3 linked regions of the Yarrowia lipolytica genome follow. The protein of the gene in region 1 interacts with the protein of each later gene in a pairwise test. Links are inferred from orthologs where the notes say so. Each region holds a gene or a part of one and is shown in the gene's direction. Other genes may lie near its edges.

What was found.
Region 2: the proteins of YALI1_B19962g (region 1) and YALI1_F04643g interact in binary tests that used the Saccharomyces cerevisiae proteins (3 or more experiments, as listed by UniProt). The link is inferred for Yarrowia lipolytica from reciprocal best matches to the Saccharomyces cerevisiae genes CCR4 and CAF40.
Region 3: the proteins of YALI1_B19962g (region 1) and YALI1_D21167g interact in binary tests that used the Saccharomyces cerevisiae proteins (3 or more experiments, as listed by UniProt). The link is inferred for Yarrowia lipolytica from reciprocal best matches to the Saccharomyces cerevisiae genes CCR4 and RPT6.

The regions. Positions count from the first base shown.
Region 1 is NC_090771.1:1,994,687-1,999,034, forward strand, and holds YALI1_B19962g (uncharacterized protein), read left to right. Parts: upstream 1-1,597; coding exon 1,598-3,715; downstream 3,716-4,348. UniProt on the Saccharomyces cerevisiae protein: Acts as a catalytic component of the CCR4-NOT core complex, which in the nucleus seems to be a general transcription factor, and in the cytoplasm the major mRNA deadenylase involved in mRNA turnover.
Region 2 is NC_090775.1:462,491-465,950, forward strand, and holds YALI1_F04643g (uncharacterized protein), read left to right. Parts: upstream 1-1,863; coding exon 1,864-2,820; downstream 2,821-3,460. Other genes in the region: YALI1_F04626g (uncharacterized protein), read right to left, coding at 1-154; YALI1_F04655g (uncharacterized protein), read right to left, coding at 2,888-3,094, 3,147-3,152. UniProt on the Saccharomyces cerevisiae protein: Acts as a component of the CCR4-NOT core complex, which in the nucleus seems to be a general transcription factor, and in the cytoplasm the major mRNA deadenylase involved in mRNA turnover.
Region 3 is NC_090773.1:2,114,915-2,118,699, reverse strand, and holds YALI1_D21167g (uncharacterized protein), read left to right. Parts: upstream 1-1,998; coding exon 1,999-3,219; downstream 3,220-3,785. Other genes in the region: YALI1_D21173g (uncharacterized protein), read right to left, coding at 987-1,331. UniProt on the Saccharomyces cerevisiae protein: The 26S proteasome is involved in the ATP-dependent degradation of ubiquitinated proteins. The regulatory (or ATPase) complex confers ATP dependency and substrate specificity to the 26S complex.

The DNA.
Region 1 (4,348 bases):
CTCCATATACAGTAATTAGTACTTGTGACATAGAGTTCAAATTAATGAGATGACGTGTGATAGGGAAAACACGGAAGGGGTTGTCTACTACTTTAGGGACCGGTAGAAGGCCGACGTTTGTTGTCGTTCGATGCTCTGCGGCAGTTGTTCTTTGCTTTGAGGTGTTTTCAACTCACTCACATCTCGTCAGGGAGCAATCGAATTATGTCGGGTATTGCCGGGTATGCATGTTTCAATATTCTACCGACTTCGATGTTGTGGTTAGGGTATTCCGTATTCGGACTTAAATTGCCATGTTACTGTACTTGTACATACAGTACGTGTAAGTTGTCGCTTGAGGTGGTTGATCTGGGTGTGTATGTGATATGTTTCAATTTAGAGAAGTCGGGATATCAGAAATGGACAGAAATGCCCGACTAGACTCCACCAGGTGAAAAATAGAACGTCAAAACATTGTTGTCTTGGAATAATGACGAGACAACCAGTCTTGTGTTTTTTATTTTATTATAATAACATGATACTACAAACTCTGTAGAATACGCGGTGTTCCTTTGGTATGCTTGGCTTAACTAATTACAGTCGTACTTACTGAAAACCCAACTACTTGGACAAGTAATACCAAAGGTTGTTCAATTATTGAGTGCATGTACCGTATGTGTACTGCACAGTATAAGTATGTTATCCCTAATTATTCATTTAATACACCGAATAATGCCACCGGTTCAAGTAAGAGTGCATACTGATACCTCATCTCTGGAATTTGATGATGTCTACAATATGTACTCACACTAAGAGAACTGTGCAAGTCACCGTACAGTACTGTACATATCTATGGCTACAGTACCTCGAGCTCATGTCGGGTCTATCGCTAGATAGGTCAATAAGGGGTAAGTAGTCGTACTATGAGGGTATACCAATTTAGCCATGGCTGAAAAGTGAATACATAGCATCACCGAAAGGGTCTAGCGGATAGCTACCACTGGCCAAAAAAAAAAGGGACAACAAAGAACGCTCGCTACATGTTTGTACCCTTCCAAATACACTGACACCACATTAGATCGCAGCTTATCAGGAAACGCACCACTATAAATGCTAAACCATGAACGCCAGTCGATGCTGGGATGACAGTAGACGTGTACCAAGGAGGCGCCCAATGGAGAGGAGAGACATACGGGGCGGGGAGGATCACACACTTATGGGCACTGGATAACGATTCCGTTTTGAGATGGTATCCAGTCATATCATGATCCTTCTGTCCGGTATGGGCCATCATTCCATGGATCATGAGATGTGTATATATTAATATCTGCATAGAAGGAGCCTCAGATAATAATGAATAGGCTGTAAACGATGCATCTGACACACTTATCACGCCTTCTGCTTGATTTCAGTGACTCAAATTTATTATTATTAGTGCATCCCCTAGCAGATTCGAACACACACCCCCCCACAACAAGGCTAGATTTAAGCTTTAGGCCGTCAAAACTGCCACCATGGTCAGTGTGCTGATTTTATCACGAAGTCATCGACAAGGCTACCTCTAAGACTATCATCAGCAAGCACAAATCGAAGGACATCATCCCCCGACACGGCCGAAATGAACCACAACACGTCATTTCAGCAGCAGTTGTTGCAGCAGCTGCACCAGCCCGGCGGCAGCAACCCGGGCGGGGTGGGCGCAACTGGAGCAGGCAACAACAGTCCCTCCTATCCCGAGGCCAGTTTGATGGGCTCCAAATTCTGGCAGAAACAGATGCAATTGGCTCAATTATCGCGACAAACGGGACCCACCAGTCACGGCTATGCCCGGGCGGCAGCCATCAACTCGCGTCAACAACACGGTAGAGACGGAGCCCAGGTGGACGCAGACAAGGACCAAGGCCCCAGCCAACTGACTCTGGTGGATCTGGCAGTGCAAACGGTGCAGCAGGATCTGGTAGAGCAACAGCAGGCCACCGCAGCATCCACGCCCCAGAGAGGATACACAAATCAACAAAAGAAGGATCAACTGGAGGAGGAGCGACAGATGACGCTGATGCAGCAGGAGAAGCATCAGTACTGGGCTGATCTGGACATGTCGGGCCAGGGTCTTATGTGTCTGTCACCGCCGCTTTTTCGCAGCTACGAGTTTCTGCTCAAATTGTACATTAATCACAACAAGCTGACCACGCTGCCTCCGGCAATCCGATCTCTGCGGCAACTGCGTGTGCTAGACGTCAGCTCCAACATGCTTACCAAGCTCCCACCGGAGATCGGTATGCTCCACAACCTGAGATACCTGTTTGCGTTCGACAACTACCTCTCGACTCTGCCCCATCAGGTCGGTCAGTTGTACCAGTTGGAGGTGATTGGTTTGGAGGGTAACCCAATCAACCAGCCAATCAAGGAGAAACTGGCGCAGGGTGGAACCAAGGAACTGGTTGCCGAGCTGAGAGAGTCTGCTCCTATGCCCGCTGCCCCCAAGCCTCGAGAATGGATCGTTCTGGAAGAGGCCGGTGGTCGAGGTGGCGCTGCAACAGCAGCAGCAGCAACTGAGGGAGAGTCTGGCTCTACTGTCGCCACAGCCACAGCAGGAGCCAACGCAGCAGCAGCTGGTGCATCTGCCTCGTCCGACACCTTTACTGTCATGTCCTACAACACTCTTTGTGACAAGTACACTACAGTCCAGATGCACGGCTACACCCCGCTATGGGCTCTTGGATGGAAACACCGATCTGAGACACTTCTCAAGGAGGTCATTGGATACGACAGCGACATTCTGTGTTTCCAGGAAGTCGACGGAGCCTCCTTTGAGGATTTCTGGTCACCCAAGCTGCACCAGCTAGGCTATGCTGGCCTGTACCATCCGAAGACCCGAGCACGAACAATGTCCAAGGAAAAGGATGCCAAGCGAGTCGACGGATGTGCTATTTTCTACAAGACGAAGTCGTTCTGTCTGATTGAAAAACTGTCTCTTGACTTTTCGTCTCTGGCACTTAAGAACAACGACTTCAAGAAGACTGCCGACACCTACAATCGAGTTCTCAACAAGGACAACATTGCGCTAATTGCGCTACTAGAACATGTGACCACAGGCCAAAAGATCATCGTCACAAACACTCATTTACATTGGGACCCTGCCTTCAACGACGTCAAGCTCATCCAGGTGGCTCTGCTTCTGGATGAGGTGGAGAAGTTTGCTGAGCGGGTTGCGAAGGACAGCAACCGAGTCAGCGCAAGAAACCAAGACGGTAACAACGTCAAATACGAGTCTGGCAAGAAACTGCCACTGGTCATCTGTGGAGACTTCAATTCCACCACCGACTCAGGTGTGTACTCGCTCTTCTCGCAGGGCACCGTGACCAACCACAAAGACATGTCTGGCAGAGCGTACGGCAAATTCACAGACGAGGGCATGAATCACGGCTTCACTCTCAAATCTGCATACTCGAACATTGGTGAGTTGGCATTCACCAACTACACACCCAACTTCGTCGATGTGATTGACTACGTGTGGTATTCGTCCAACGCTCTGTCTGTGCGAGGTCTGCTTGGTGGCATTGATCCCGACTATACCAGCAACATGGTGGGATTCCCTTCGGTGCATTACCCCTCCGATCATATCTCTCTACTGGCCGAATTCTCCTTCAAGAAGCAAAAGGGAGGTGATGGCCAGCCGAAAAAGGCATTGGATTTCGGTAACTCTGGAAGCCACAGCGGCTCGCGAAAGACGTAAGGTCAAGGTAGTGGTGGAGGAGCTCTGGAGAGCAACATCAGTCGCATAGAGCTATGACTGGAGTTACACAGAGCAGCAGCTATACAATGCCATCGTAGCAGCAGCTAGAAGCAACAGCAACAGCAAAGCTCACTCAGCAGTTTTGTACAAGCAAACTGTTCTGAAACCACAGGGATATAGGTAATGATTATGTACGAGTAGAATAAAAGGCAGTGTAGTTACCACGATACTCTGTTGCTGTTGTAGCCGGAGGAGCCGAGAATCGAGCAACATGTGGGCCAGGGAACGGAGCAGGTAGTGTGTTGGCATCGGAAACAAGTATGGGCTATCTGCAATGCTCATGCCTGTTATCAGCAGCCAAGACCGCGCTTACAGTACGAGTACAACAACGAGTACAAGTATAAGAATCGTAGTCTGTTATGACATGTTCTTTCAACGGTTCTAAACGAACCTTAGCTGAGAGGTGGCAGGTCTTTATGTGTGAACAACGAGATGCTGTATTGTTGTGTGCATGTATGTACAAGTAGTGTGTGTGTGTGATACTGAAGGTATTGATCTATTAGTATTCGGGGATGAGCAGTTGAATTGTAGATTCTGTCCAGACAGAATTTCGGGCGCGTTAAACACGAGCTT
Region 2 (3,460 bases), on another chromosome or scaffold:
GACTCGAGGGTTGTTTGTCTGTCTGATCGGTTGGCAGGAAATTTGACGACTCAGATGACAAGTTGTCGCCGCCGTACTCGCGCTTGTCGCCCGTGCGCTTTGAAACCACGTGACTCCAGGTGTTGTCCACCGAAAACGGCTGTAGAGAAGACATTTGTGGTAGCCGGTCCAGGTGTTCAAGTGGTTTACAGTAGCTACTCGGTAAGGTATTACTGTAGCGCGTTATAGTGTTTCGTGATAGAGTTCACGGGTCGGAAATGAGTCTGGTAGGGTACAATCAACAAGGACTTCTTGAGAAGATGACCCCGATAAGGAAAAGTTGATTTAAAGCTGTATGTTTCTTCTCCGGTTTCCATTTTCCACCATTTCATTCCATCCACTACTTGCCGATTTACAGACGTCCAAAAACATTTGCTTGGTACTCTGAACCTTGACAGGGGAGTCGCGTGGGTGTTATTACATGTTGATAAATGGTGAATTGGGGTCTGTAGATATGGAGGAACAACTTGTAGGCCTATATATTGGCGATTTTGGCTTCTATCTCATTGTAATTCGAGCCCTGCCAGATGTCTCCATAAGCCACCAACTCGACCCAAGAAAAATCTCACTGAAAAATACAGTTGTGACTTCCAGATGCGGAGGAAAACTTGATTGTTGATTTGCCGATGGTGTGGGGGGGCTACGGGGATTTTGAGTATATCATGGTGGTCCTGGAGATTTCCCTGTGTCTGTGGTTTTGTTGTCGTCTTTCTCCGCCTCCTCGTTCGACTCCACGACTCGTTGTATGTCCAGCCCATTCAAACTGATCAATTAAACCTCCGAGTGCGGTAAATGGTTGAGATGCATGTTATCAGATTTGCACGAGTCGCAGTAATAGGGGACTGAGTCCAAAGAAGACGTGGATTTGAGGGGAGAGGTTATGTTCTTATTTTTGCGTGTCTAGTCACGTGTAGGTGGCAAAAATACTGCACCTAGTAGACACTGACTCCGCCTTCACGTACAAGTAATTAATTTATTTTGTTTTTTATTTTATACTTTTATTTATTCATTTTTTCTTTTTTTTCTTTTTTTAAGCCCGCGGGAGTCTAAAGAAAAGTAGCAAGTATATACCTGCAGATAGCAACGGACTCATAGGGAAGATGGTGCACTGCTCGACCCTTGTTCGATATATCGTGGGGTAAATGTCGAGTTGGTTGCGGTTGTGTATATCAGGCAGTATCCTCCCTTGTCGTCTGAATTGCTTTTTGGGCTTATCACATGCAGGAGTCGAATTTCAGGACCTTTTTTTTTTTTTCCTTTTTTTTCTAATTTTTTTTTTCTCTTTTTTGAATAAGGTCGTATGCACCCTGGTGGCTACAACTATTGTTTAGAACGGCTAAGTAGGATGTCTATATACTCAGGATGGAGGATGACAGCGGCGGCTGTATTGACACAGGAATATACAAACAGGATCAATCGACCACAAATGACCAAGGAGAGCACAGGACCCCCTCCAAAAACACACAAGTACCGGAAATCCCGCACCTGTAGCATCCTTGACACTGGTTATGACATGTCTCTCAGTTAGTCAACTATACTCAACTAATGCGACCAAGTAATAGCGTGATGCTAGTAGGCTATGATGACTTCGAATAATGACGCGATAGGAAGCTGGTAAATTATCGTCCACATACCAATTGTTGAAATATATATCCCCGACTCAGCTCGATCACTGAAAACGCTATATTGACATATTCGGCCACCGTCCCCATCTGGAGTCGAACCCACGTCCACAAACCCTCCACCAACCTTCGACTCACCACTCACCACATCAAATCCATAACCCAGAAAACTGTCCAGATCACACCTCCACCACAGTCCGCCATGTACCAGCAACCTCCCCAGCAGCAATATATGGGTGGCCAGATGAACCAGCCGCCGCCCAATATGCCCCAGATGGCACCCAGCGGCATGGCACCGGCCAACTCCAACGACCCCAACGTCATGCCGTTGAAGCTGACGGCAGAAGACGACAAGCTATATTCGTGGATCGTCGAGCTGATGCACGGCGAGGGTCGCGAGCAGGCTCTACTCGAGCTCGGAAAGAAACGAGAGCAGTACGAGGATCTCGCCCTCATCCTATGGCACTCGTTTGGAGTCATGAGCACTCTGCTGCAGGAGATTATGAACGTGTACTCCCTGCTGACGCCTCCCAATCTGTCCACTGCCGCCAGCAACCGGGTATGCAATGCCCTGGCCCTTCTTCAATGCGTCGCCTCACACGCCGACACCCGAACCCCCTTCCTTGTGGCCCACATTCCGCTCTTTCTGTATCCCTTTCTCAACACCACCGTCAAGTCGCGGTCGTTTGAGTACCTGCGGCTGACATCGCTGGGCGTGATTGGCGCGCTCGTCAAGAACGACTCGCCCGAGGTCATTTCGTTCTTGCTGTCCACCGAAATCATTCCCCTGTGCCTTCGAATCATGGAGAGTGGCACCGAGCTGTCGAAAACAGTGGCGATTTTCATCGTCCAAAAAATCCTCATGGACGACATGGGCCTCAACTACGTGTGCCAGACGTTCGAGCGGTTCACCGCGGTGTCGCAGGTGCTCGCCAACATGGTCCAGCAGCTGATTTCACAACCGGCCTCCCGACTGTTGAAACACGTGGTCAGATGTTATCTCAGACTGAGTGACAACGCCAGAGCCAGAGAGGCACTAAGACAGAGTCTGCCCGAGCCGCTGAGAGATGCTACCTTCAGCCAGGCTCTGAGAGACGATGCCGCAACCAAGAGATGTCTCGCGCAGCTGTTGATCAACTTGAGTGATAGTTACGAGTGAACAACGAGCAGTGCAGCTGCGACTTGTGAGCGGAACTCACAGTCCTACCACGAACATCGTGCTGCGACTAGTGACCACGACTACAGGTGTCAAAGCTGACCCATAGAGCAGTTGAATACCACTCAGCAACCCGGTTCATGAACCGCGAGCTTACTGCATCATCGAAGACCAACAAATCGCATAATAGGTCACCTGGAACAGGTGGTGACCCTAAGGGGAGCTGGGAGTGGCCCGTACGTACGGTACAACGCCACAGCATGTAAAAATATATTATCTATCTACACTAGACAAGGCCCGTGAACCGTGGCATCTGATTGAAATCAGACAGACATATTTCCATGATAGACAGATATGTCCATCTAAATAACTCATCCTTGCGCTTTCAGCGAGAGAGCTACCATCTCTCTAAAAGGAGCTCCTACGTGACAGCTACGTTATCACCGGAACGTCAAGTCACTGAACACGAAGTAGTCGAACCAACACGTAGCTAGGGTTAGTCGTAGTCAAATAGAATGTATGACTAATGATGTTATAATGCTTTTCTTGCTTATATAAGTATGTAATTGTACAGAAAGAAGTAGCTACTTCTGAGTCAAAGGGATGTAACGAGGGCCCAAGTGCTGGGATACAATACACCGGC
Region 3 (3,785 bases), on another chromosome or scaffold:
TAGGTGATAGGAACAAGTTGAGTCGGGATGTTGGAAATTAGAGTGGGAAATAAGCAGTCGTCTAATAGTGCATAACCACAGCAGGTCAAGACACCTTGTCTCATCCGACTCCTGGCCCAAAGAGGAAAAGTGTGGAGTGCCACCAACCGTTTGGTGAGTAGGTACTTGGAGGTTTTGCCTTGTTCATATGCCGCGGCTTTTGTTTGGATGGAATGTGTTCCTGGAAATGAGCAAATGGTGCCGATGCACAAGGGTGCGGCTTGCATTCCGGAATGTCCGACACTGCACTTTGTCTGATCGCAAGCCTGCTCCCGTGTCTACCTTGAAGGGGCGGGAAACAGACGGGACTTGTCTGCCGGGCCGACCTATCGTCTTGATTTACTTCTGGTGGTGGTCTCAGACGTCAGACAGGGATACGTGCGACTGAACGATACCATACGATTCCAATGCACTGTGGTTTCAGATGCCCCGCTTGATATGTACTTTCTGGAAGGTCTAGAATCGAAATAACCACATCTCAGCTGCATTTGTCTCTTGTCTCAGCGCATTACGATACGAACATGATCACTGATCACTTGATCAACATACTACCAGACGATCATCACTGTATACAGTAGCACACTCACATGTGCCCGTGTGTAGCCTGTCACATTTGCATAGTACATACCAGGTTGTCGTGCCGCCTCACAACGCGCCTGCTCTCGACAAACTAGTCTACAGAAGTGGTCTTTCAGACATGGCCTTTCAACTAGATCAGTGACTGCCGACATCCATTCCGTGCATTGCAATCTTGTCTAAAAACATGTACCTTTACCTTGGTGCGATAGGTGTACCTTGGTAGGCATCGCGACCCCAGTGCAGTACCAGAGGATATCCCTGTGGAGCTGTGGAGGGTCCTCCATTTTATTTTTGTTGCGGCTCTCTGGCCAGGTCTTTCGCAACCGATTTTCCGTCGCTCGCCTGCCATGTTAAAATGACAGCTTGCTCTAGCCCCTTCTGAATCTCGTCAGAACAGGCTTGAACAAGGCCCAGGCAAGAAGCCCAACAGTAACACCGGTAAAGGCGTACACAATGAGCTGGTCCTTGAACGACTCGCGCTCAAAGCACGCCGTGGTCACGTCCACCTCGCCCTTGGCCTCCTTGCAGATGGTCAACTTCTGGTCCAGGCAAAACTGTCGGGTGCAGTTGTTGCACGTCAGCAGCTGTTCTTTTTGTGGTCGCAGCTCGATGATCTCGTACTCGCCGAAACACTCGCATTTGCAAAACTCCGTGTATGCCAGCGCTGGCACCACGAGCAGAATCAATGTAAGAGTGAGCGATAGCAGTTTCATTGTGCAAAAATGTGGGAAAGGTGGGCAATGTGGGAAGTGTGGAAAATGTGGGAGAATGTGGTGTCCGGATCACAGCGTTGGTGCCGTAGAAAAAGCCTGGGAGCACAAATATCTGTTGCAGTCACGGCTGGTCGCACTTGTACGGAAATATGGAGAGGGAAGACATGCATGTTGGTCGATTAAGTCACATTTAGTTGGCTTACCTAAGCAGCCTCGGCGAAAACCTCCCCGCCCGCCCCCTTCCCCAAAAAAAATCGAGAGCGGTTCAATCGTCTTATGATTCATTGGAGCTGCTCTATGACCGTATACAATAACACTTGGCTTGTCTCTCCCAACCCCGGATCAACCAGCCGCCCACCATCACTATCGCCACCTGTACATTTTAGCCTTTTGCTATCATCGAGGTGCCAATTGGAGTGGCGCTAGGAGCTTGAGTAGTGATCGGATTGGGGATATTGCAGTCTTGATCGATACATCTGTGGCACATCAGTGTCAGTTTCGGCCGTCTACCCTCCATCACCTCTCCATCACGAGTTATCAGCGTCCAGTTGTTGACGCCACTGAACTTTAATTTCCGCTCACTACCTCCACTCCCACCCACACACATGACCATCACCACTCAACCTCACCTCACAAAACCACACATCATTCATCTACACACACCAAAATGACGACAGTTGCAAGCAACCAGGTGGGTCCCTCTTCCTCGTCAGGCATTGCGCCGTTCTTTGCGCAACAGATTGAGGACTTTGAGCTGAAAATCAACAAGAAGCTGCAAAACTTGCGACGGTTGGAAGCCCAGCGAAACGCCCTCAACACCAAGGTGCGTCTGCTCAAGGACGAGCTCCACGTGCTGCAGGAGTCGGGCTCGTACGTCGGCGAGGTGATCAAGATCATGGGCAAGCAGAAGGTGCTGGTCAAGGTCCACCCCGAGGGCAAGTACGTGGTCGATATTGCTCCCGACCTCGACATTAAGAAGATCACGCCCTCGTTGCGGGTCTGTCTGCGATCGGACTCGTACACTCTGCACCAGATTCTGCCCAACAAGGTCGATCCTCTGGTGTCGCTGATGATGGTGGAAAAGGTGCCTGACAGTACCTACGACATGGTGGGAGGTCTGGACCAGCAGATCAAGGAGATCAAGGAGGTGATCGAGCTGCCCGTCAAGCATCCCGAGCTGTTTGAAAGTCTGGGTATCGCGCAGCCCAAGGGAGTCATTCTTTACGGACCCCCCGGTACCGGAAAGACCCTTCTTGCACGAGCTGTGGCGCATCACACCGAGTGTAAGTTCATTCGAGTGTCTGGTTCCGAGCTGGTGCAAAAGTACATTGGAGAGGGTTCTCGAATGGTTCGAGAGCTCTTTATCATGGCCCGAGAGCATGCCCCAAGTATCATCTTCATGGACGAAATTGATTCCATTGGTTCTGCTCGAACCGAGTCTGGAGGAGGCGGCGGCGGTGGCGACTCTGAGGTTCAGCGAACCATGCTGGAGCTTCTCAACCAGCTGGACGGTTTCGAGTCGTCCAAGAACATCAAGATCATCATGGCCACTAACCGTCTTGACATTCTGGACCCTGCTCTTCTGCGTCCCGGTCGAATCGACCGAAAGATCGAGTTCCCCCCGCCCACCGTGGAGGCTCGAGCCGACATTCTGCGAATCCACTCACGACGAATGAACCTAACCCGAGGAATCGATCTCAAAAAGATTGCCGAGAAGATGAATGGCTGTTCGGGAGCCGAAGTCAAGGGAGTGTGCACAGAGGCCGGAATGTACGCTCTGAGAGAGCGACGAATCCACGTGACCCAGGAGGACTTTGAGCTGGCTGTGGCCAAGGTCATGAGCAGAAACGATGCTTCCGAGGTTTCTGTTGCCAAGCTGTTCAAGTAAGCACTGGTTTGTTGGTGGAAGGGGTTCGTTGGAGTCACTCTGTAAGCATACTTCTTGGAACATCATGGAGGATATATAGTAATGTCATGTTATGATTAGAAGAGCGTGCTTGTGAGATAGGGGGACGATGTGGAGCAGTACAAGAGTGTTCAAGTGATGGCACGGAGATGGAGGTTGTAACTCAAGGGCGAAAGTGTGTTCAGTGGTAACTACAAGTACGAATAACCTGCTTCCAGTGAAGATATCCTGGATAATGAATCTCATCATATCGTAGTCCCCAAACGACAGTGATACTACCCTATCAGAGCACATGTTCTGGCCGCTTTACAGCGCAGACAACCACTCAGACAACCACTATAACAGCCTGTTTCAGCCACAAGAGCTCGTCTCTGAGTCCAAGTAAACATTCGACAATCTGTGCATTGGTCACGCGCACCGCAAAAGTGTATATTTTAGATGAAACTTGCGCCAGTTATCTATCAATACCTTTGTAAATCAAGCTGTATAGTTGCAGCTCTTTTCTGATGTTTAATATTCGCTCTCATAACTCGTTCATCTCTCCACTC